Canis lupus familiaris: one gene and its partners. The protein of the gene in region 3 interacts with the protein of the main gene of each other region in a biochemical or structural test. Links are inferred from orthologs where the notes say so. Each region holds a gene or a part of one and is shown on either strand. Other genes may lie near its edges. The genes, in order: CD2BP2, CD58 and CD2.

What was found.
Region 1: the proteins of CD2 (region 3) and CD2BP2 interact in a biophysical measurement, tested with the Homo sapiens proteins (6 studies listed by BioGRID and IntAct, with this or other methods). The link is inferred for Canis lupus familiaris from reciprocal best matches to the Homo sapiens genes CD2 and CD2BP2.
Region 2: the proteins of CD2 (region 3) and CD58 form a complex in vitro, tested with the Homo sapiens proteins (3 studies listed by BioGRID and IntAct, with this or other methods). The link is inferred for Canis lupus familiaris from reciprocal best matches to the Homo sapiens genes CD2 and CD58.

The regions. Positions count from the first base shown.
Region 1 is NC_049227.1:17,898,452-17,905,449, reverse strand, and holds CD2BP2 (CD2 antigen cytoplasmic tail-binding protein 2), read right to left. Parts: upstream 3,628-6,998; 5' UTR 3,560-3,627; intron 3,420-3,559; 5' UTR 3,345-3,419; intron 3,236-3,344; 5' UTR 3,090-3,235; exon of another isoform or gene 2,933-3,089; intron 2,802-2,932; exon of another isoform or gene 2,658-2,801; 5' UTR 2,638-2,657; intron 2,555-2,637; 5' UTR 2,529-2,554; coding exon 2,451-2,528; intron 2,212-2,450; coding exon 2,076-2,211; intron 1,953-2,075; coding exon 1,795-1,952; intron 1,673-1,794; coding exon 1,231-1,672; intron 1,150-1,230; coding exon 1,040-1,149; intron 958-1,039; coding exon 847-957; 3' UTR 712-846; downstream 1-711. Other genes in the region: sesquipedalian-1-like, read left to right, coding at 4,117-4,725; TBC1D10B (TBC1 domain family member 10B), read right to left, coding at 5,768-6,412, 6,491-6,645, 6,969-6,998. UniProt on the Homo sapiens protein: Involved in pre-mRNA splicing as component of the U5 snRNP complex that is involved in spliceosome assembly.
Region 2 is NC_049238.1:54,534,615-54,541,433, forward strand, and holds the start of CD58 (lymphocyte function-associated antigen 3), read right to left. Parts: upstream 3,993-6,819; 5' UTR 3,904-3,992; coding exon 3,834-3,903; intron 1-3,833. UniProt on the Homo sapiens protein: Ligand of the T-lymphocyte CD2 glycoprotein.
Region 3 is NC_049238.1:54,696,996-54,703,862, reverse strand, and holds the start of CD2 (T-cell surface antigen CD2), read right to left. Parts: upstream 4,509-6,867; 5' UTR 4,408-4,508; coding exon 4,347-4,407; intron 4,227-4,346; coding exon 3,927-4,226; intron 1-3,926. UniProt on the Homo sapiens protein: CD2 interacts with lymphocyte function-associated antigen CD58 (LFA-3) and CD48/BCM1 to mediate adhesion between T-cells and other cell types. CD2 is implicated in the triggering of T-cells, the cytoplasmic domain is implicated in the signaling function.

The DNA of each region.
Region 1 (6,998 bases), on a different chromosome or scaffold from region 3:
CCAGGTTCAATGATACCTGTCTCCTTCCCGACCCCACTCTTCAGAATCTGAATTCCTGGAAGTGGATCAGCTCCCTAGTTATTGAGAGTTCCTTCAAAGCACTAGCCTCATACCAGGCACACCACGAGAGCCCAGGGAATGGAAGCTTCAGGGCCTCAAAGGTGCCAAGAAAGGTCTGGGCAAGAAACCCATGGGGTCAAGTCATGCTCAGATTGCTGTGTGAGCTCCAGGGAGACACTGCCCCTCTTTGTCTGTTCAATGGTTGGCCCAGGTGGCCTGGAGTTCACACTTCGCCTGAGGAGCTGGAGATCCCGAGGGGGTGGGGAGGGAGTGGGTACCAGGCTTCCCACTCACCCCCAGCATATGTCTCAGCCCTTTTGAAGCCTAAAAATTTCTACTTCTGAAGCTCCATCTTATACTGGCTAGAGACTCTAAAGTTCTAAAAACAGGACTGCAGAAAAACAAAACAGGAACCCTGCTCCGAGGGTACTGGAGAACAGCAGGTGAGCAAAGAGATTTTTGAGATGGTGAGCAGAATCCAGGTGGGAAGGCCACAGGCCACCTGGGAGCCCTGGCTCTACCTTGGGAATGGTAAACAAAGGTGAGGTGGCTCAAGTGACCAAACACTCCCAAGAAGAACTTCATGAGGCAAGTCCAAAGGGGCTATGAAGCACCTTAGCTCCTGGCCATCAGCACAGCCAAGGCCCTAACATACAACTAAAGGCTTTTATTGGGAAAGGAAAATGGACTGAAAGGTGGCCCCCAAAATCCTCAATGCCTGAGACAGCTGGGGCCTCCTCCAGAGTCAAGGAAAGAAGGGACCACCAAACTGGGCCCTCAGCAGACTCAGGTGTAGAGGTCAAAGTCAATGCGTTTGGAGTTGTAGAACTGTCCACCGGGAGGGTCCAGCTTCCGGCAATAAACACCATCTGCGAAGTAGCCTTCGTTCACCCAGGTCTGCAGGAAAGGAAAGCAGAGCTGGGGAAAGACTCATGGGAGAAGGGAAGGGGGGTAGTGGTAGAAGCAGGAAAGGGCTTACCTGCATCTGGGTGCTGGTGAAGGGCCCATACAGCTCAGCATCCCCTGTGTTCTCCCACTTATATTCCCACATCACGTCCACCAGACCATCATCTCCTTTCAATTCTGCTTCTAAAACAACAGGCAAAGCCATCTGGCCCTCAAGTGCCCTACCTCCTGCCCCAACACCCCTCCTCTGCCTTCTGATCTTACCTCCCCTCTGTGTGGGGGTTGGGGTCTCCAGCTCCCCCTCTGCCACTTCCTCAGCAAACATGTCCAGAGAGGGTGGGGGTGTGGGGTCAGGGGGTCCCTGAGTCCGGGACCCCAACCCCTTCAGCCGCATGGCTAACCGTTCCCTTGTCTCCTGATATACACCGAGGTTGCCCCGGGCCACCATCTGGTCAGCCAACCCAGAGAGCCGATCCAAGCGCTGAGGGGAACTAGGCCGCCCAGCCCCCTTGCTGCCCCCTTTGCCACCTCCTCCTCCTCGGGCCCCCAGACGCCTCAGTGCCCCGGCCACTGTCTCTCTGGGTAACAGCAGCTCCAGAAGGCCCTCCAGGAGGGCTTGGGCACTCATTGGTGTCTGGCCCAGGCTGTCTTCTTCCTCTGAGTCTGAAGGTGGGCGCTGATCAGGTGGCCGCTCCTTGATCTTCACCTGTGATATGAAAACGGGGTGGGGGGGGGGGGGTCGGTTATCTCTTACAAACCGTGAGCAGGGCACAAGCCCAGCACTTGCTGCCTCCAGGTCCCCAGCCAAAGTCAACCCCTGGGCCACACCCAGTCAATGTTGTCCAGCCAGCTATCTCGGATCTGAGCATCCCGGTTCAGAAAGTAATTGCCATCAGCATCAAAGTGGCCTTCCTCCATCTCTTCCTGCAGGTTGAAAGGTGTGATCCGCACACCTCCCTCACTGGGGAGTGTGGCTGCTTCCTGACCTGCACCAAAGACACAGGTGGCCCAGGCTGAGCAAGCAAAAACAGACAAGAGCCTTCTCCACCCCATATCCCGTGAAACCCCATCTGTTCCTCCAGCAGCAACAATTCTTGGGTTTAGCTCACCTTCCACATCCTCTGAGGCCAGGATGTCGTATTTGCTGGACCCCTCATCATCATCATCCTCCTCATCACTGTCCAAAGAGTGTTTGCCTTTGAAGCGGCTCCCAGGACCCCCTGCCCCAGCCACAGGATCCACCAGCTGTGAGGAGCCAGCAAGTTGAGAGATGCAGGTTTGCGGCTATTCCTCAAAGTACTCTAGGAAGGTTTTTCTTCAAAGCTTTCTCAGACTGAAAATTCTCCAAACCCATTTCCCAGAGAACATGGAAAAAGCGAGACCTTTCACCGCTTTATCCCCACCAGCTTTCTTTCTCTTCTAGCCTCCAGTTCCTTCTCCCTGCCCTCACTCCTCCCCAGAATACAGGAGTCTGGCCACCTCACCTTCTTCTTGGGGACACTGATTTCATCCTCATCATCCTCATCTCCTACGCCTTGGAAGGTCACTTTCCTCTTTGGCATGCCTGCACAGAGGGGCCTTCGCCAAGCTGAGCGAGGGAAAGGGTGCAGATTAAGGGAACTGGGCGAGGCTACTCACCGCCGAAGGGCCGCCAGCACAACAAATAATCACCTGGTACGCACTAGATCCAGCTTGGGAAGAGAGGGTGCAGAGTCAGGGGCCGAAAGGGAAGTCGGCCGCCAGGAGGCCCCGGGGACTTGGTTTGGTCCAAAAGAGTTGCTGGTGCGGGGCCGGAGAGGCGGACGCGCGGAGGGGCTTCCCACGGGCAACCCCCACCCTTGACGAAAGGAGACAGACCCCCCACACATGCCCCCCCATTCCTGGCCCCCGCAGTCCTGGGTGCGACGAGGCTCTGAGGGCTGACACCGGCTCCTACACCCCCAGCTCCCTCAGAGCCCGCGGGGCCCGGGCGGACCCAGGACCTGGCGTCCTGGCCGACCCCCTCTTCCCCGCGCCGAACTCCCGGCTCCGAGGGGTGACCCCCAACTGTCCCGGGCTAAGTGTACAAATCAGAGGGGCGGCAGAACCGCGAGGATTCCAGGACCCCACCGGCGCGCGCTCACCTAAAGATCGACGGGAGGCCGGCGGGGAAGGAAAAAGAGAGCTGCTTTCCCCACGGCTACGTCCGGGGCAGCGGCCGCCATCACCCGGAAGGGAACTGCGGAAGGCGCTGGAGAAGGCCGGAAGTGGCTTCACTCGGGGTAGGGGACTAAGTGGAGAAGCGGGCGGAAGTACACAGTGAGCGGGAAACACCTCCCCGCCCAACCCAGAGTGACGTGATCAGTGTGGGGCGACAATGGCGAGAACAGGGGACGTACGAACGCCTAGGCCCCGATCAGACGAGAGAGATGGCCGGATGCGGTTTCGATTCCCTCCGACAGCAGTCAGAGGCTCTGGGGAGAAAGCAGAGCGCACTCTACTTAAAGGGGCGCCCAGGACCATGATGGAGGAGCAAAGTGGGACAATGGCCCGTTTCCCTTTCCATAGTTGAATCACTTTCCCCAGGGTTGCCCAAGGGCTTTGCGCCCCTCACCAGAATCTTCTTGGAAACCCTTCCTTTCCACTCAGCGTCCAGTCCAGTCCACTCCTACCCCGAGGTGCGGCCCTGCTCTTTTCCCCGAGGCAAGACCCGGTTCTGATGGCCAGCCTGGAGGCCCGGGGTGGTTCCGGGGCACTTGCCGAACACAGGTCTCTTTAGGACCCGGGGGAAGTCATTTACCCGACACCTATCCCCTGGGGAGTTCCTGGTTTGAGAGGTGGGAAGAGCCGTCTCGGAAAGGTGACGGTGGTACCTGTGTCCAGTACCCAGGCCGAAGTTTCTTGTGCCCTGATTTCAGGTAGGCCTGGAAAAGGGCAACAGTGCGTCTCTCCAACTACAGGCGCAAGCAAATAGGGGTCCAGGCCAGCGGCCCCTGCCCAGGGTCTGTAAACTAGCCCAAAGGGGAGAACTGTAGGTGGGAGGTGTCGGCCCCAGTGCTGGGGGGGGGGGGGGGGAGCAAGACCTGTACTCTTGAGGACACTCTTAAATCCCACTAGGCTAGGACCAGCTCTCTCTCCTGCCCCCAAGGTCTACTCCCAGATTGGACTACCATGAAACTGCACCAGAAATCCGTACTCAATTTCTTCCGTGGATACAGAAAAGCTCCAGACCGCGAGGGCATCTTGCTGAAGAAAGGAGCCCGAAATATCAGCTATCAACGCCGCTGGTTCATCCTCCGGGGAAACCTCCTCTTCTACCTGGAGAACCAGGCGGACCACACACCCCTGGGCCTCATTCTCTTGGAAAACTGTCGGGTGGAGCCACGCCTTGGGGCCACAGAACCCTATGCCTTTACCATACTGACCCCTAGGGTTGAGGGAACAGCTGGGCGTGCCTACAAATTGGCAGCAGAAAACCAGGAAGAGCTGGGAGCCTGGCTGTGGGCACTAGCTGGGGCGAGCTGGAGGCGGCTGGTGGCGCTACTACCCCCCCTGGAGGCCCAGTACCGGGAGCTGTGCCAGGCAGCTGGCCAAGAGCCCAGCTCACCCCCAGAGGACTGTGGCTTTCTTGCCACCCTCGGTATCCCCTCCAGCTTCCAGGAATTGCATGAGCACTTTGGAAAGGAGATCCGGGTGCTGCAGGTGGTGCGTAGAGGGCCCCAGGCTAACAATGGGGGCAGCAGATCCCAGGCAAAAGAGGAACAGGAGCTCAGCAGCTGATGAGTGACTGAAAGGTGGACCAAAGGCCAAGAGGTACCCACGTGCCAAGACCAGCCCACAGCTTCGGTAGATGCCTGGATCCTGGCCTGCTCCACTGTTTCCCACCCCCTGCCCAGTCCTTATTCTAACCCCCTCTATCAAATAACAAAGCAGGAGACGGGCCCAGGTACAACAGCAGGTTCTTTTCTGATTCCTCAAAGCGCTGCATAGGATAGGAGCAGAGATAGAAGAGAATGTAAACATTGGGTTCCACCCCCTGGAGCTCAAGGGAAGACCCCTTCCCCAGATAGGGGCTGGAGGGAAACAATGTAAAAGGTGGGGACCCTGGTGAGACAAAGCAGGAGAGGCCTGAGAATACACAGGAAGGTGGTGAAGAAGAAAGAGAGCAAGGAGGATGGTTGGGGGGGGGGGGCATTTCCTGTTCCAAGGCATGTCCCCTTAAATAAATGAGTGCAAGAACATTGTAGAAGGAGAACTAAAGGACAGAAGATAGAGCGAACACCCCCACCCTGGACCCACCAGGTCCTCTGTACATAATTACAACGCAGAGATGTCCGAAAGTAGAGCGAGGAGAGCTTTGGCCCCCAGGCAGGAAGAGGGGGAGATGGGCAGGGCTGCAGGGAAAAAGGAACCCGGCTCCACTCACGGATAAAGGGGAGCAACTGGAGTGTAAGAATCTGAAAACTGCTGATTCCCATCGCCAAGTCACCCCTGAGGTGACTAAAGGCCAATCAGGACTGCACCTGGGAAGGACCCCAGAGGGAATTGGGGCAGGAGTGACAGAGACCCCAGCTGGACCTAACTGGAGGTGAGGGGCTCCAGACTTATTCGAGGCTGTCCCAAGGAGAGGCGGCTGCCCAGTGCGCTCCCACTGTCCCAGCTGTGTAGGGACCAGTGGCTGGCAAAGGAGATGGGGAGCCAACTGCTTTCCCCAGAGAGAGTGACCACTGGCCCAGGAGGCTTGGGGCAGCACCCCAGGCCAGGCCTGCTCTGGACTGAGGAAAAAAGAGGGAGGTCATGCAGTCCAGCCCCAAAACAGAGGTCAGAAGTAAGCATCCTGCCGGGCCTCAGATGCCGAGGACCTGTCCCCACCATCCTGGGGGGTGGGGGGCCCATCTGCCTTTCGACGCAGTGAGAGCTTCCTGCCCTGGGCCTTCTTTTCCTGCTTCTGCCGCTCCTTCTCCTGCTTCTGTTGCTCCTTCTCCTGCTCTTTTTCCCACTTCTGCCGCTCCTTCTCTTGCTTTTCCCGTTCTTTCTCCTGTTTCTGCCGCTCCTTCTCACGTTCCTTTTCCTGTTTCTGCCGCTCTTTCTCTTGCCTTCGAGTCTCCTTGCTGGGAGCCAGTGGGGTGCTATTGCCAGTAGGCGAAGGAAGGGATGGATGTAGTCCCTCAGCAGTGACCACGGGCCCTGGAGTGGGCCCAGCACTAGCCCTGCGGGCAGGAGGAGGTGGAGAGGGGACCCCCCCCGTAGCCCGGGAACCTCGGCTCTTGAGGCCAGGGAGGCTAAGAAGGCTGGACGAGGGGCCCAGAGGTGGCTGCTGCCGCCGACGCTCCTCATGGATGGCCCGGGAGCCATGTAGTCGCCGAGAGGGCCGATACTGCAGCTCCCCCCGGGTTTCCCGCCACTTCTTAAGCTGGGTTGTGTTCTCTCGCTCAATCAGGGCTTCTGTCACTGGGAGGTTGGTGACCTAGACAGAGAAGAAATGGGTAGCAGGACGAAGGGGATGGGATGAAGCAGGTGTGGATGTGCTCAGGCCACAGCCTACCTCATGCACCAGGAAGTCCTCCTGCATGCACTGCTGGGGCAGGTTGCGCAGCTGCTCCATGGTCTCATACATGCCCTGGCAGGAGCGGAGCTTCTCCACCGAGCCCAGCGTGTGCCGCAGCAGCACCAGGGCCACCCGGAAGATGATCTTGACGCCTGCAAGGGCAGAGAAAAGACAGCGTGGGTGACCAGGGATGGGACTTCAACTTGCCCCAATTCAAAGGGACTCATAGGCTCTATCCCTGTCCTACTGCCATCCTCATAGATGAGGAAACTGAGGCCCCATGAAGGAAAATGAGCTGACATGGGTTTCAAGTTCCTGGGAGGGAGAGTAGGCTCCAGGCTGATGGCAGAGCCAAGGCTAGGCCCCAATCTCTCCAGCCCCCAGACTGCTTACAGGAAAGCCTAGGCTCCAGAAATACCTTTTGGCAGCCACTGAAACCCCAGGCCCCTCATGGCCTGAATGGCTACAGAAGTACCTTCACAGAAGAACATATCCCAGACACGCA
Region 2 (6,819 bases), about 160 kb from region 3:
TTAGGACAGAGGGAGAGGGTAGGAATAGGATTTCTCTGAGTATATCTTTTTATGTGGTTTGATTGGAACCATATTAATATTTTACATATTTAAAAATTAAATCAAGGGAAGAAACCCTAAAATTGAATAGAAACAAATTAATGTCACTATATTTTGAATTGATAGCCTAACCATCCAGAAGGAAAAAAAATAATCCAAGTAACTTTAAAAGACAGTATTCTGTACATATTCAGTGGGATATATGGAAGAATAAAAAGAACTGAAAAGAAACTTTGAACTTTACATGGTAAATTTTGTGCTTGGTAGTGGTCCTGGTAGAGCAATTATGAAACTATTTTGTGTTTTAATGTATATTAGGAAAATACACTGATTCTACAAGGAACAGAGTTCTCACTGTGGCAAAGAGATATAGAAACAGGGAATGAAGGAAGAGAAAGATGAACCACATGTTTAGATTAGTTTTAGCAGTAACGGGGTAGACTTGTGACTTCGTGAAAACTCTTTCCTAGCTATAAGAACTGATAGCCTAGAAACCATGACTCCTGTAGCTCTGAGCACTAGCACCCAGATACTGATTTCTAAAGCCCATCTCCCACTAAAAGGAACAAGGGAATCTAATGATTACAGGCTGAGACAGAAAAGGTACAAAATAAGTCCAGAACGTCTTTCTGTGCCAAAAAGTAGGACATTCTCAAATAGATGGAGACATGGCAAAGAACACTGAAGCACAGAGGGGTCCCCGTTTGCCCAAGTCTGGATCACCCACCACACATTAAAATAGATGACAAAAATATCATCTTCAGAAATATCATGGCTCCATACTTATATTAAAAAAAGGAAATTAAAAGGGGGTGCAAAAGCTCTTCATTACTGAAGAATGTCCACAGTGTAGAAAGAAAACTAGGGATAGGAAACTGCCAAATAAAAATATTTTATTTAACTTAAATTTCACTTATTTATTCATGAAAGACACAGAGAGAGGCAGAGACATAGGCAGAGGGAGAAGCAGGCTCCCTGCAGTGAGCCCATTGTGGGACTAAATCCCAGGACCCTGGGAGCATGACCTGAGCCGAAGACAGATGCTCAACTGCTGAGCCACCCAGGTGCCCACCATCTACAAATATTTTAATGGACTTGGGTAGCACCAGTGGATGCTAAAACACCAGGTGAGAGATTGTCACGGCACAGGAGAGTCACACAATCTCAAAGTGTCACTTGATAAGCCACATATAATTTATAAAGGGGAACAGGTGCCTCTGTGATAAAGAAATCTGGTGGGTCACCTTCACCAAAGAACCAAAGTTAAGGTCTCCAATAATGGGACAAATGGACTGCATCTACTCTCCAATGGGATGCACACAGAAGGACAAGACACACTTATGGAACAGTCCTGAAAGTTTTAACCAGAATGTAATCAGAAGGAAACAGATCATCCAAATTGAGGGACATTCTATAAAACTGATTTAGACCTTTGAAAAATAGTGATACCATAAGTACCAAAAAAAAAAGAGAGAGAGAGAGTTGGCAAGTTTTAGACTAAAGGGAATTAAAGAGGCAGTACTACCAAATATAGTGTGTGATCCTGGATCAGCCTATAGACTCTATCACAAAACAGTATTGTATCAATGGTGCGTTTCCTGATTGTGATCATGGTTCCATGGCTTACTGGAGACATATTGTTCTTAGAAGACATATGCTGAAATACTTAAGGGTGAGGTGTCATAAGATCTGCAACTCTCAAATGTTTAGACAAAAAAATTAAGTGTGTATAAACAGAGAGAAGTAAACCAAATGTGTCAAAAATGTTAGTAACTGGGGATTTCAGGAGAAAAGTTAGTGTTTGTCACATTGTTTTTTGCAACTGTTCTAAACATTTCCAACATTCCAAAGTTTTAAAGAATTAAAAGGAAATACGAATTGTGCCCACACCCCTTTCCTCCAAATTACTAATCTCTGTATTAGTAAATGTTTACCACCACCCAACATGTACATATTTACTCATTTATTCAGTTACTGATTCTCTCCCCCACTACTAAGTAAACTTCACAAAAGCAGGGAAGTCTGTTCCTTGTTGCAGCCCAGGTCTCACGTCTAGTGCCCAACACATAGTTGACAATCAGTAAGAACGTGTTTGTGACTGATGTTCACACTCTAGGAAGTACACACTATTATTACCCTTCTTCACCAGTGAGTGGTACTCTCTCTCTTCCGAGACAAGCCAGGCTCACAGAACTTTCCACCGGCATAGGAAAGCCTCAGAGCTCTCTGGGTCCTGTGATGGCATCCGGGCCTCCAATTACTCTCAGCTGCACCCTTTCCTCTGTACTGCTGCCAGATTATTCCTCCTCAATGCACGGTTCTGATTCTGTGAGGCCCAGAAAGAATTCTCTGCCTGCAGAAGATAATCGACACTCCCAATGGGGCTTGGATCAGGGCTCTGCCGTGGGGCCTCCAGCTCCTATGGGCACATTTATGCTCCAGTGACATTGGAGACCCTGGGACTGGGACTCTTCACTGCCCAGGTTCACCTTGTACATGCTGCTTCCCTTTTCCCCACATCATGGCACGCCCACACCGCCACCCATCCTCAGAGGACAGGTTCAAATATCCTTCCTTCCGTGGAATCTCTGCTTTACAAGAAATACTTGACTTCACAAAAGACCTTGGTCCCCTCCCTGTGCACGACCATCGCATTTTATGCTCAGCGTGACTTCCATTTACTTCTGTGCCTTGTACTGTAGGCACTTGTGCTATCTCTGCACCCCAACCCGCTAGGCTGTCCTCCGCAGACGCGGGTCCACAGCACTCCACGGAAGCTGAGGCAGAAATGAGGATGCAAGGTTGATCTGTAGCATGTGCAAGGCGGGCCCCAACAGGAAACCCTCAAGGAAAGAAGAAGTAGTGAAGGGTTTAGTACTGTGCTCCCTCCAAGAGTTTGGCTGTGACTCCGTGTGCAGGGCTTTGCGGGGGGGGGGGGGGGGAGGCAAAAAGGGAGACGGGCACAAGGAGTGGGAAAAGGATGAACTCCGTTCTAGACACGTGGAGTTCTTTGACGTTTTCAAGGGAGGGCAAAGGAGCACCAGCCGCCCCGCTCAGGACCCCGGAAAGATTCAGACATTTCCCTCGGCGGCTCGCTGACCCAGGCCGGGTTCTCGGCCCGCAGGAGCGGCGCAGGGGCGGGCGCGGCTGGGGCGCGGGGGGCACGGGGGGGGAAGGGGGGCGGGCGGAGCAGGGCGGCGGGGGTCACGGGGGGGGACGGGGGGTGACGGGGGCGCGGCGGGGCCCCGGCACCAGGCTGCAGCCGCGCTCCTGCGCCCTCCTCCGCTCGGGGCGCGCCGCGGATAAGCCGCGTCCTTGCGCAGGTGCGACCCGGGGCCGGGGCCGGGGCCGGTCCTGGGAGAGCTCAGCCCCGCGGAAGCAGTGAAAGGGCCGTCCGAGGGCTCGGCGACGGTCCCCTGGGGCTGGCGGGGCGGGGGGAACCACGAGCGACCTAGAGTCCCTGGAACGTCAGCCAGGGCACACCCTTCCGGAGGAACCCCGAGCGGGCACGACGGGGGTGTCGGGCCCGGCCCCGGAGCGCAGTCCCGCCCCTCCTCCCAACGAAGATTCGCGTGCCTAAGGTCAGAGTGGCTTCCTGGCGGCCCACGGGAGACTGAAGCGACGAGTCGGCCGGACGAGGTCCCGCCTCGCCCCGCGGGCTGCGTTCCTGGTCTCCAGTCCCCCTGAGCCGCCTCGACTCGGGGCGTCCGCCGGCCGCGGAGCCCCGAGGCCACCGACACCCCCAGCGCGGTCCCGGCCCCGGCCCCGGCGAGCCCGGGAAGGCCTCCACTCACCGAACTGGAGCAGCAGGCACATCGCGCAGAGCACCCCCGCCGCCGCGCCCCGCGCTCTCCCTGCGGCCATGGCGCGGCCGGCAGGCCTCCCGGCAGGACTCAGCCCGGACGATGGGTTCCCGGGTGGCCGGGGCCTCAAACCCGGGCCCCGCCCCGGACTCCGCCCCGCCCCGCCCCCGCCCCGCCCCCGCCCCGCCCGGCCCCGCGCCGGGCCCGAGCCTCGGCCCCCGCCCCCGCCCCCGCCCCGGGTCTTGCCCCCCGCCCCACCCCGGCCTCGGCTCCCGTCCCGGCCCCCCGCCCCGGGCCCGGCCCCCTGCCCCGCCCCCGCCCCCGGCCTCGGGCCCCGCCCCGCTGCGCCCCCGCTGCGCCCCCGCGCCTGCCTCCTCTCCCCGCGGTGCGGTCGCGCGCCCACCCGGACCCCAGAGTCGTTCCGCTGCCACCAGTCTGCTCTGCGGAGCTCCTCCTCCAAAGTGGCTTACGTTTTTATTTATCCATTTTTGGATTTTTAAATTTTGTTTATTTGACACAGAGAGAGAGCACAGGCAGGGGGAGTAGGAGAGGGCGAGCAGGCTCCACGCCAAGCAGGGAGCCCGACGCGGGGCTCGACCCCAGAACCCCAGGATCACGACCTGCTGAAGGCAGACGCTTAACCGCGCCCCGTGGCTTATCTCGGTGCCTCGCGCTCCTCCGGCACTTTCCCTGGACGTTGGGACGTGACGGAGGCCTCGGTAGCCCGGGATGCCGCGCTCACCGCCCCCGCGAAGCTGGCCCCCAGGTGCCAGGGGAACTGCGCAGGCACCGAGGGGCTGCCAAGGCTTCCTGCAGCGCTTGGAGCAACGGCCGCAGCCGCCGGCCCCCCGCCCCGCCCCGCCCCGCCCCGCCCCCCGGAGTCGCCTTCTCCTGCCAGTCACCGTCCTGGGGGAGTAGAACGAAAGCACAGGGCATTGGGGGCAACTGCTACAACGTGCCTGATTACCTGGTGCAGCCGGCCCCGCCCGTGTCACTCCGGTCCAGGCCACATTTTCCTTAAGCCTGCCCCCCCCCCGACCCCCCCAACACTACCTTCCCCAGAGCTGGGGGTCCTAGCCTTGGGTTTCTCCCTTCTCAATTTCCTCTTTGTTTTCCTCTTCCTCCAACTCAGCTGTGGGCTTTCCTTTACGCTGAGAAGTCGGTCCAGTCGCTCCGCACCGTTGGGCCTCCCCCCAGAACCCCCCACCTCAGCTGCAACAGGCACCTGGACACACCATCCTAGTGCTTAATCTTCTTAAAAAAAAAAAAAAAAAAAAGGTTTTATTTACTTATTAGAGAAAGAGCATGAGCCGCGGAAGGGGCAGAGAGAGAAGTAGACTCCCCGCCGAGCAGGGAGCCAGAATGTGGGGCTCCAGCCCAGGACTCGGGGATCTTGACCTGGGCCCACCTCAGACGTTTAACCCACCGAACCACCCAGGCGCCCCCTAGCCTAGTGGTGGTAAGAATTCTTGATTGGCTTGTCTGTCAAATTTGTCAAAGAACTCCCAGAACCAGCTCCCCACATGCCTTCCCGTCTGTCCCCTTTCAGAGAGAAGCACGACTTGCTCCTGCCCAGCTGTGGGAGGGAAGGGAACTCTGAAGCTCTTCCAGTGAACAGGATATCCTGCTGTCCTAATAAACACCAACCTGTCAGTTGTGAAACAGGGGAAATTGCCATATTGTTGCTGTCATCTCCATCATCCTCAAGCCAGGATCCCCAAACTACTCAAGACATCTGAACTATACTGTAAGGATTCATTAGTTCTTAAGTCAGCCAAAAAAATCTTAAGTTATCTAGGGGCGCCTAGAGCACACAACTCTTGATCTCAGCTCAGGTCTTGATGCAGCACTGTTGAGTTCAAGCCCTGTGTTGGGCTCCATGCTGGGTGTGGAGCCTACCAAAAATAAATAAATAAATAAATAAATAAATAAATAAATAAATAAATAAATAAATAAATAACCATAAATCCTAAAGGTATCTCTATCAGTGAAATGTGGGGGACAAACGTCATGTACCATGAAGTATCCTACCTTAAAACATCCCTACCATCTGTAGATACTGGAACGTGAGGCAGGTGCGGTGTATAGCACAAAATGGGAGAAAATCAAGTTTCTGCTCTGCCATGGGCTAGTAGGAACTCAGGCCAACTGAGAAAGTTAGGATAGGGTCAAACTTTTAGACACTAGAGTGCCCCTGAATATTTTTAAACTGAGAAGTGATGTAACAGCAAACGTATGCTGAGCACTTACTAAGCCAGGCCTTGCATTAAGTGCATTACCCCCAATTAATTTAATCTTCTTGCTGTCTCTAAATTCACAAATGAGAAAACAGACACTCAGAGAAGATGCGTGACTTGCCCAAGGACACATAGTAAGGAGCAAAACTGGGAGTCCAACTAAAGCTACATCCAAAGCACGACTCTTACCCCGTCATACAGAACAGGATGCAACTTTCAGATAGGCAACCATGCTGTCGTTTGGACCAGCCAGCAGGAGCGGTCAACCATCTCCAGAGCAGGGCTGGGGAAAATTTTGCCCAGTCACGTGGGGCTGAGAAGTATGCCTCAGGTCATGGTCTCCGGCCTTCGAGTAAAGAATGATTCATTAGGTCTTCTTTGGTTGGATGCTCTGCTGACCAAGACTAGCAGAACAGTGCCAGCTTTTTCATTAAGAGAAATGCTGTGCATCAAGCATTTTTTTAAAAATATTTTTTAAAGTAATCTCCACACTCAACATGGGGCTGAAACCCAGAACCCCAGGATTAAGAGTGACACATGCTACCGACTGAGCCAGCCAGCTGTCCCTTCTACAGCATTTTTAAGAGAGCTTATATGCCTAGCAGACTTCATGAATCAAAAGCGGCTTGAAAAGGTGGACCCGAGTTGGGCAATGGGCCAAAGAGGCTCTATTCATATATTGAGGACTTGCCCCCAAAAGGAGAGTGGATGTGTTTTTCATCCTCTGGCCTGTATTGAGA
Region 3 (6,867 bases):
CATGCCAGGAGCCCGTAGCGGGACTCGATCCCAGGACTCCAGGATCGCGCCCTGGGCCAAAGGCAGATGCCAAGCTGCTGAGCCACCCAGGGATCCCCTAAATTTTTTTTTATATGGCACATTCAGCACAATTTTTTTTTCTGGTGAAGTTCATAGCTACATTATATGAGTGAAAAAAATATATCAAATGTTTATGTGCCATTTTATACCTTAAAATGTTTTCACACACACAATATCATTTAATCCTAACAAACAGGAGAGGTTGGTGTTTTCTTGCCGTTTACAGAGGACATACCCAAGACCTGAGAAGTTAAATGGTGGTCTAAGGGCACCCACTAACAAGTGACAGATCAGGGAAAGAGTCTGCTCTCCCAAGTCCAAGTTCAGTAGCATGGGTAAGATGGTTAACATGTTCTGATCCCCACAAGCCTGAGGAGGTGCAATGCTTCAAAGCAGCTGGGAACCCTACCCTGGAGGCATCGTTACATGTGTGGCCTGGGACCCTGGTCACAAACAACTCCCTCTCCCTGCTACCATCCACCAGGTCCTGGGAGCAGAGGGCCAGGTGTGCAGCTCAAGCTCTGGGGTGAGTGGGCCCCAGCCCCATCCAAAGCTGCTCAAGCCCTCACCGTGCCTCACCGGGCTTCATCTGTAAGAGATGGATAAGCAAGACATGCCCCACCTGTCAGAGATGACATGCGACAGAGCCCTGGGCAAATCGTTAGGTACCAATGTCAGTGCGGTTCCTGTAATATTCATAATCGTCAACTCCTTGCCTCTCTTTTTCTGACACCATAATATGCCAAGGCTGTGTCATGAAAGACAAAGTCCTTTGCTTCAGATGGCGCAGGTCCAAATCCTAACCCCACCACTTCTTACTTTTGTGACCTCCTCCTTTTTTCTTCTCTTCTGGTCTTGATCTCACCCTTACTCCCCTTCCCCAGGCTTGCCACCTTTTCCTCTCAACTTCTCTCCATTCATTATGCAGCTGGATGGCTTCTTTGTCAATGACTCCCTCTTTGCCTGCCTCCCAGCCAATGGATCTTCTCCATCAACTTTTCCATCAGATTTCATTTCTGCCCTAACATATCCGCATGCAGAAATGAACTTTTCTTCCCATCGCAAGATTCTGGGTGATTCAGTATGAAGAGGATGGATGGTCAACAAGGCAGGGTCAGTGCAGAGTCTAGGGGTCAAGTTAAGGTGTTTACTTGTCTTTTTAAAATGGAAAGAATCTTTTTTTATTTATAAGGTTAACAACCAGTCATGGTAAAAATTGATCAGAAGCAACAAAATGCGGCAAGATTAAAAATCACATGCAATTCTACTACCCAGAGCCAATAATTATTAATATTTTGTTGTCTATCCTTACCTTACCAGGTGATTTCTATACATAATACATATATAAATAATGTTTTAAAAACTAAAACGGGATCAGATGATTTTGGAGACTGCTTCGTCCTTACCATTGATCTATTATGAAATTCTTTCCTTTGTGGACATTGATATTCACCCTCTATCATCTCTTAGATGATGTCTTCTTAATTTAATGTATACCTGCTGGGGACTTTGCAATCCCTTCCAGTATTTCACTAATATAAACCTTACAGTTATGACCAGGTTCCTGAAGCCACGTCTTTGTGCATATTCTCCCTGTGAGGTGGCTTCCTGGAAGAAGCATGGCTGGATCAAGTGGGGGCACATCACATAGATGAGAATGCCTTAGTTCTAGGTTGCTGGGATTTATTCATTCTCCCCTAACACATGCTTTTAAGAGAGCTTCCAATGCCTCTTTGGCCAGGGGCAGCAGCCCCACCAGTAAGGAGATATGGGTACAGAAACTGAAGCTATGAGCAGCATAAAGAAACAGGGATGGGGGAGGGTGTTAGCATTTTGCAAATGGGTATGGGGTTCCAAGTGCTGCAGGGCACCTTTGCTTCCTTGTCTCATTGTACATCCCACGGACCTATCATTACAAAGATCAGACTCGGAGCAGAGAATTTGCCTGAAGCCATGTGGCAAATAACAGGGACCAAACCACAAACTGAATTAAAATGCTGTGTGACACTGGCACACACACTGGCACACACACACACCAGGCGGCTGCTGTGCCATGGAAAGATCTGTCTTTTGGCCAAGGAATGAGGGGGTAATGAGAATGTTCTAAAATCAACTGTGTGCTGGTTGCACAGCTCTGTGAATATACCCAAAGCTAATGAAGTGTACACTTCAAGTGGGTGAACTTCTGGTATGTGAATTCTATCTCCAAAAAGCTGTTTGAGGGGGAAAAAATGTCACCATCCTCATTAAGGGAAGCCCCGGAGTTGCACCCTGGCTCCACTCCTGTCAAGGTGTGAGACTGTGGAGAAGTCACTTCTGTTTCCCTCCAGATAGTAAGAGGACAATAACAACTAGCTCTCAGGGTTGTCTGGAAACTTAAATAAGATCATGGAGCAAAGCATCTGACACCGGCTGGTAAGCCATTATCACCGTGGGCGTTACTAGACAAGACACAGATGTGTGGCTCCTGTTCGGAAGGGAACACTTGAGCCTGTATGGACAGGAGTCATGAGATCGGTGTTCTCAGAGCCCCTGAGCAGAGGCCACTTCCAGTACTGCACCATTTCTGGAATGTGCTCTCCATTTAAGGCTGCAGAACTGGGGTACGGAGAGTTGTCACGTGAGCTGGATACGGGAACTGGGTACGGGGAGCTGGAATGGAGGGCTGCTGCCAGGCCCACGTGCTGACAGCAGGGCTGGAAGGTGACCCTGGGGAGGGGGAAGGGGCCCTGCCTCTAGCGACATTTCCTGTGTGAAGCACAGAAATACTGGTTTGTTTGCTCGCTGCATCTCTGGCTTTTGCTCATGGGGGGTTCCTGCCCTCCTCTCCAAACTGAGGCCTTCTTCCCCTTCTCCTTATCAAGCCCTGCCAAGCGTCCCCAGGCTTTGAACGTCAATGTCATTTCAATTTCACTTTCTCTTCCTTGTCTCCTGCACCCAAGCCATCTTGCCCATTCTTTCTCCATCCAGCACCCTTCATGTACTCTACTTCCCTATTTTCCAGGCACCCCTTATCGACTCTGGGGGGTCGTCGGTTCTGGCTGCCCATTAGAATCAGCTGAGGAGCTTTAGCCCAGCTCCCATGCCAGGAAATTCTGATTTGATTGTTCTGGGCTGAGACCTAGGCACCGGTAACTTTTCCTAGGGCCTCAGTTGACTCTAACATGCAGCCCGAGTTGAGAATCCCCAAGTAGTACCCTACCCCCACACACACCCCACTGGTACTGTAGCAGCAGCTCCCAGGCTCATCTTCAACAGGCCCTCCAGCACTCCCAGGGCATCACACACATACGGCCACACCTGCTGTATTTTCTGTAACCATCAGCCCAAATTATCTTCCACTTTTCATCACTCTGATGTTGAGCAGATCTGAAACAAGGGCTGTTCATCTTTAAACTTCCAGCCCTTTCCTGCCATATAAATACTCTTTCAGGGCATCGTGGCTTGAAATGTCTCTCTAAAAGGACGACCCACCTCTTTCCAGTTAGTCTGCTCCACACCCAGCTTGCTTTTTCATCATCCACTTGAAATGACCACTTTTCTCTTCTTCCCACCTGTTCCTCTCCTCCTGATCAATGCCACCTTGATCTAGGTTCTACACTCAGCTCCACATCCCCATAACCATGGAAGAGAGCATTTTCGGCAAAGAGAGTCGAACTTTTATTGGCCGTGTATCTCCCCATGCGGAGACTCCATCTCTTCCACAGGACTGGAGCCCTCCCTGAGGTGGGAGAGATGCATTAGTTCCCCTTTAGGGCTCCCCCACCCTGGCCAAGGGCAGGCTGGGGCCATTCCATAAATGTTATTCCCCAACTTGCTAAGTAGCGCCCATACTGAGATGGAGGAATTTAGGGAATGAGACTTACCTTGAATCTTCAATTGATAATTTCTTCTCAATACACTCTTTCCATCTTTATCATATATAGCCACCTTGTAGATATCGCTGTCATTCATCATCAGATGTTTAATTTTCAGAAATCCGTTTGTTGATATGTTGTATTTTCCATGTGTGTCTTTAAGTATGCCTGTTTTGAGTTCTGCAACCTTGGTTTTGCCTTTTTCCCATCGGATATGGTCTATCTTAGCATTCATTTGAAAACCAGCAGAGTCCAGGTCAAAGTCATGACCAAGGGCACCCCAGACAAGCTTGGTTTCAAGGACCTCACCTATAAAAAGCAAGACAGTTACTGAGATCTCGAGACTCACTTCCAGAGAAATTTTAGGCTATGACTTTTTGACTTTCATGCTTACTTTTGGGTCTCCAACGGAGACCCACACCAACTTACCTTTGATGTAAAAGACGAAAATCAGAAGGAAGCTGGCTAAGATTTGACATGCGAGGTTCATCTTTGGGGTTAGTTTCCTTGTTGTGATTCTGAGCTCTTCCTGCAAAAGGAACTAAAGTAAGACCAGTGGAATCCACCCTCTGAGAGCTGAACCACGTGCCTCTCTTTTTTGCTTCTTTTACAGTAGCATAGCACACACACACACACACACACACACACACACACACTCAGCAAACCAACCCTGCTGATGCTCCTTTACCAAAGCAGGTGTGTTTATTATGTGCGAGTATCTTCTTAATCACATTTTAATCCTTACAACAACCTTGGGTGGGTTTTATTAACCCCGTCAAAGAGAAAAAGAACCAAGAGGCTGAGCAAATCATTCAGGATCCCCTTTTGGTTAACAAGGAGCCAGATTTAACCAGACAGCCTGCTTTAACCAGACATTCTGCTATGCCACCTCTAACAGGACCATAATAAGTTCATTAGTGACTAGCAGCATATATTTATCCTATGATTACAAGCATCGGAGAATGTATACACGTGAAAGAATTATGAAAATGGATTTATTCTCTTCTTTTAAAGGTGTTTTAGAGGTTCTAAAATTCTTTGTGATTAAAATGAAATGTAAGTTGAGTCTCAGCTGTAAATGCTTGAAATCCCCAGATCTTATGCTCAACGTATATTTTACAACTCTATTGAAATCCAGTTAAGTAAGTAAAAACTTGTTCCTAAATAAACAAAAACACAAAGAGTCTGGAATACTGTCAAACAACCAGAACGAATCATTCAGAGCATTTACAATGGTTAATATTATAGATGGTTAAGGAAAGGAAGAGATACAGAGAAAAGGACAAGTGAGAGAGGACTCAGAGAAAGAGGAAAGAAATTTATGATTTGGGGAGAGAAATAAAGTGATGTGTTGATGAGTGTACACAGAAAAAATGCACCAAGAGAGCCAGCCACAGAAAAAAGGGAAACCTAATGATAGATTTCCAAAGTAAATGTCGTTTTGTGCTTCCTTAGGATAGAGTAAAAATCTTAAAAATTATGCTTGCTTGCTTTTTTTAAAATTTAGGCACAAATGTGGTTATTACCTCTTAGAAAGCTTCCCAGAAAATGAAGTTAAGTGAAAGCAATGGATCTCAACCACTGGGTGAAAGGATACCTACAGAGAATATTTACTTCGTGATTATTGACAAATTCCTAATGCACATCACCCACAAAGATAAACTATAATTGTGTTAAATTCTTAAATGTTAAAGAAACTGTGATAGTGCTAAAAAACATTCACAGAAATATATCTTCATATCTTTGAGCATAGGAGGCCTACCTACATGTGCTATATGATCCAAAAGTAATATAGAAAAAATGGACAAAATTGATGAATAAAAACGTAATATTTATTTATTGGCAAAGAGATGAGCAAAATGAAAAGACATGATGGAAAATATTTGCAATACATATGAAAAATTATTAATATACAAGTTATGGAAATTATTACTATAATAAGAAAACTCAGTTTTTAAAATGTAATTTAAAGATACAAATGAACAGTTTATAGAAGAAATTCTTAATAGAAGAAATGTCAATAAACTTATCAGAGGATATCTAATACAGCTATGAAATACCATTATCACCACCAGATTGGCCAAATTAGAAAAGATAATAGTTTACGTAGGATACAGGTAGAAACATGCACCTTCATATAATATTGAAGGGAGTACAAATCCACACCTCATGGGGGATGAAATTTGGCAATTTCTATCAAACTTCAAAATATATATATATATATATATATTTTTTTTTTACCTAAGTAATTTTAACTTGAGAAATCTATTCTACACAAGTATTTACATAAATGTGGAAACATTCTGTCCAAGGGCATTTGTTGTAGCATTTTTCTGTAATAGAAAATTGCAAACACCTAAAATGATGGCAGATTCATATTATGAAATACTGCACAATGGTCAAAACAGGATAAAGTAGACTAAAAAGTGATGATTATACTGTATCATATCACATTACATAATTACTGAATTCATGGAAAAAATTCTAGAAGGATTCTAGAATTCTAGTTCAGCATCTGGAAGGATGCTGAAATTTAACAGTGCTCCTCTTTTAAAACTTTAGATTTTGAAGAGGCCAATTAGAAATTTGCACTTTATACTTACCTGCTTCTGTGAAGTCAGAAATTCTGTTAACAAACACATTAGTTTTGTAATGCAAAGTTTTTTATCTATTTATTTTTTAAAATAAAGGATGCTTCAGATACGTTTTTTCAAAAGTGTATGCAGATTCTTTTTTTGAGGGGGGATTTTATTTATTTACTTGACAGAGAGAGAGAGAGAGCAAGCAAGGGACAGAGGGAGAGGAAGAAGCAGACTGAGCAGCGAGCTGGATTCCAGGACCCCAGGACCCCAGGATCATGACCTGACCCAAAGGCAAACGCTCAACCACTGAGCCACCCAGGCATCCCAGTTCTTTTTCAAACAATAATTTACTCTTGCATCTCATTCAA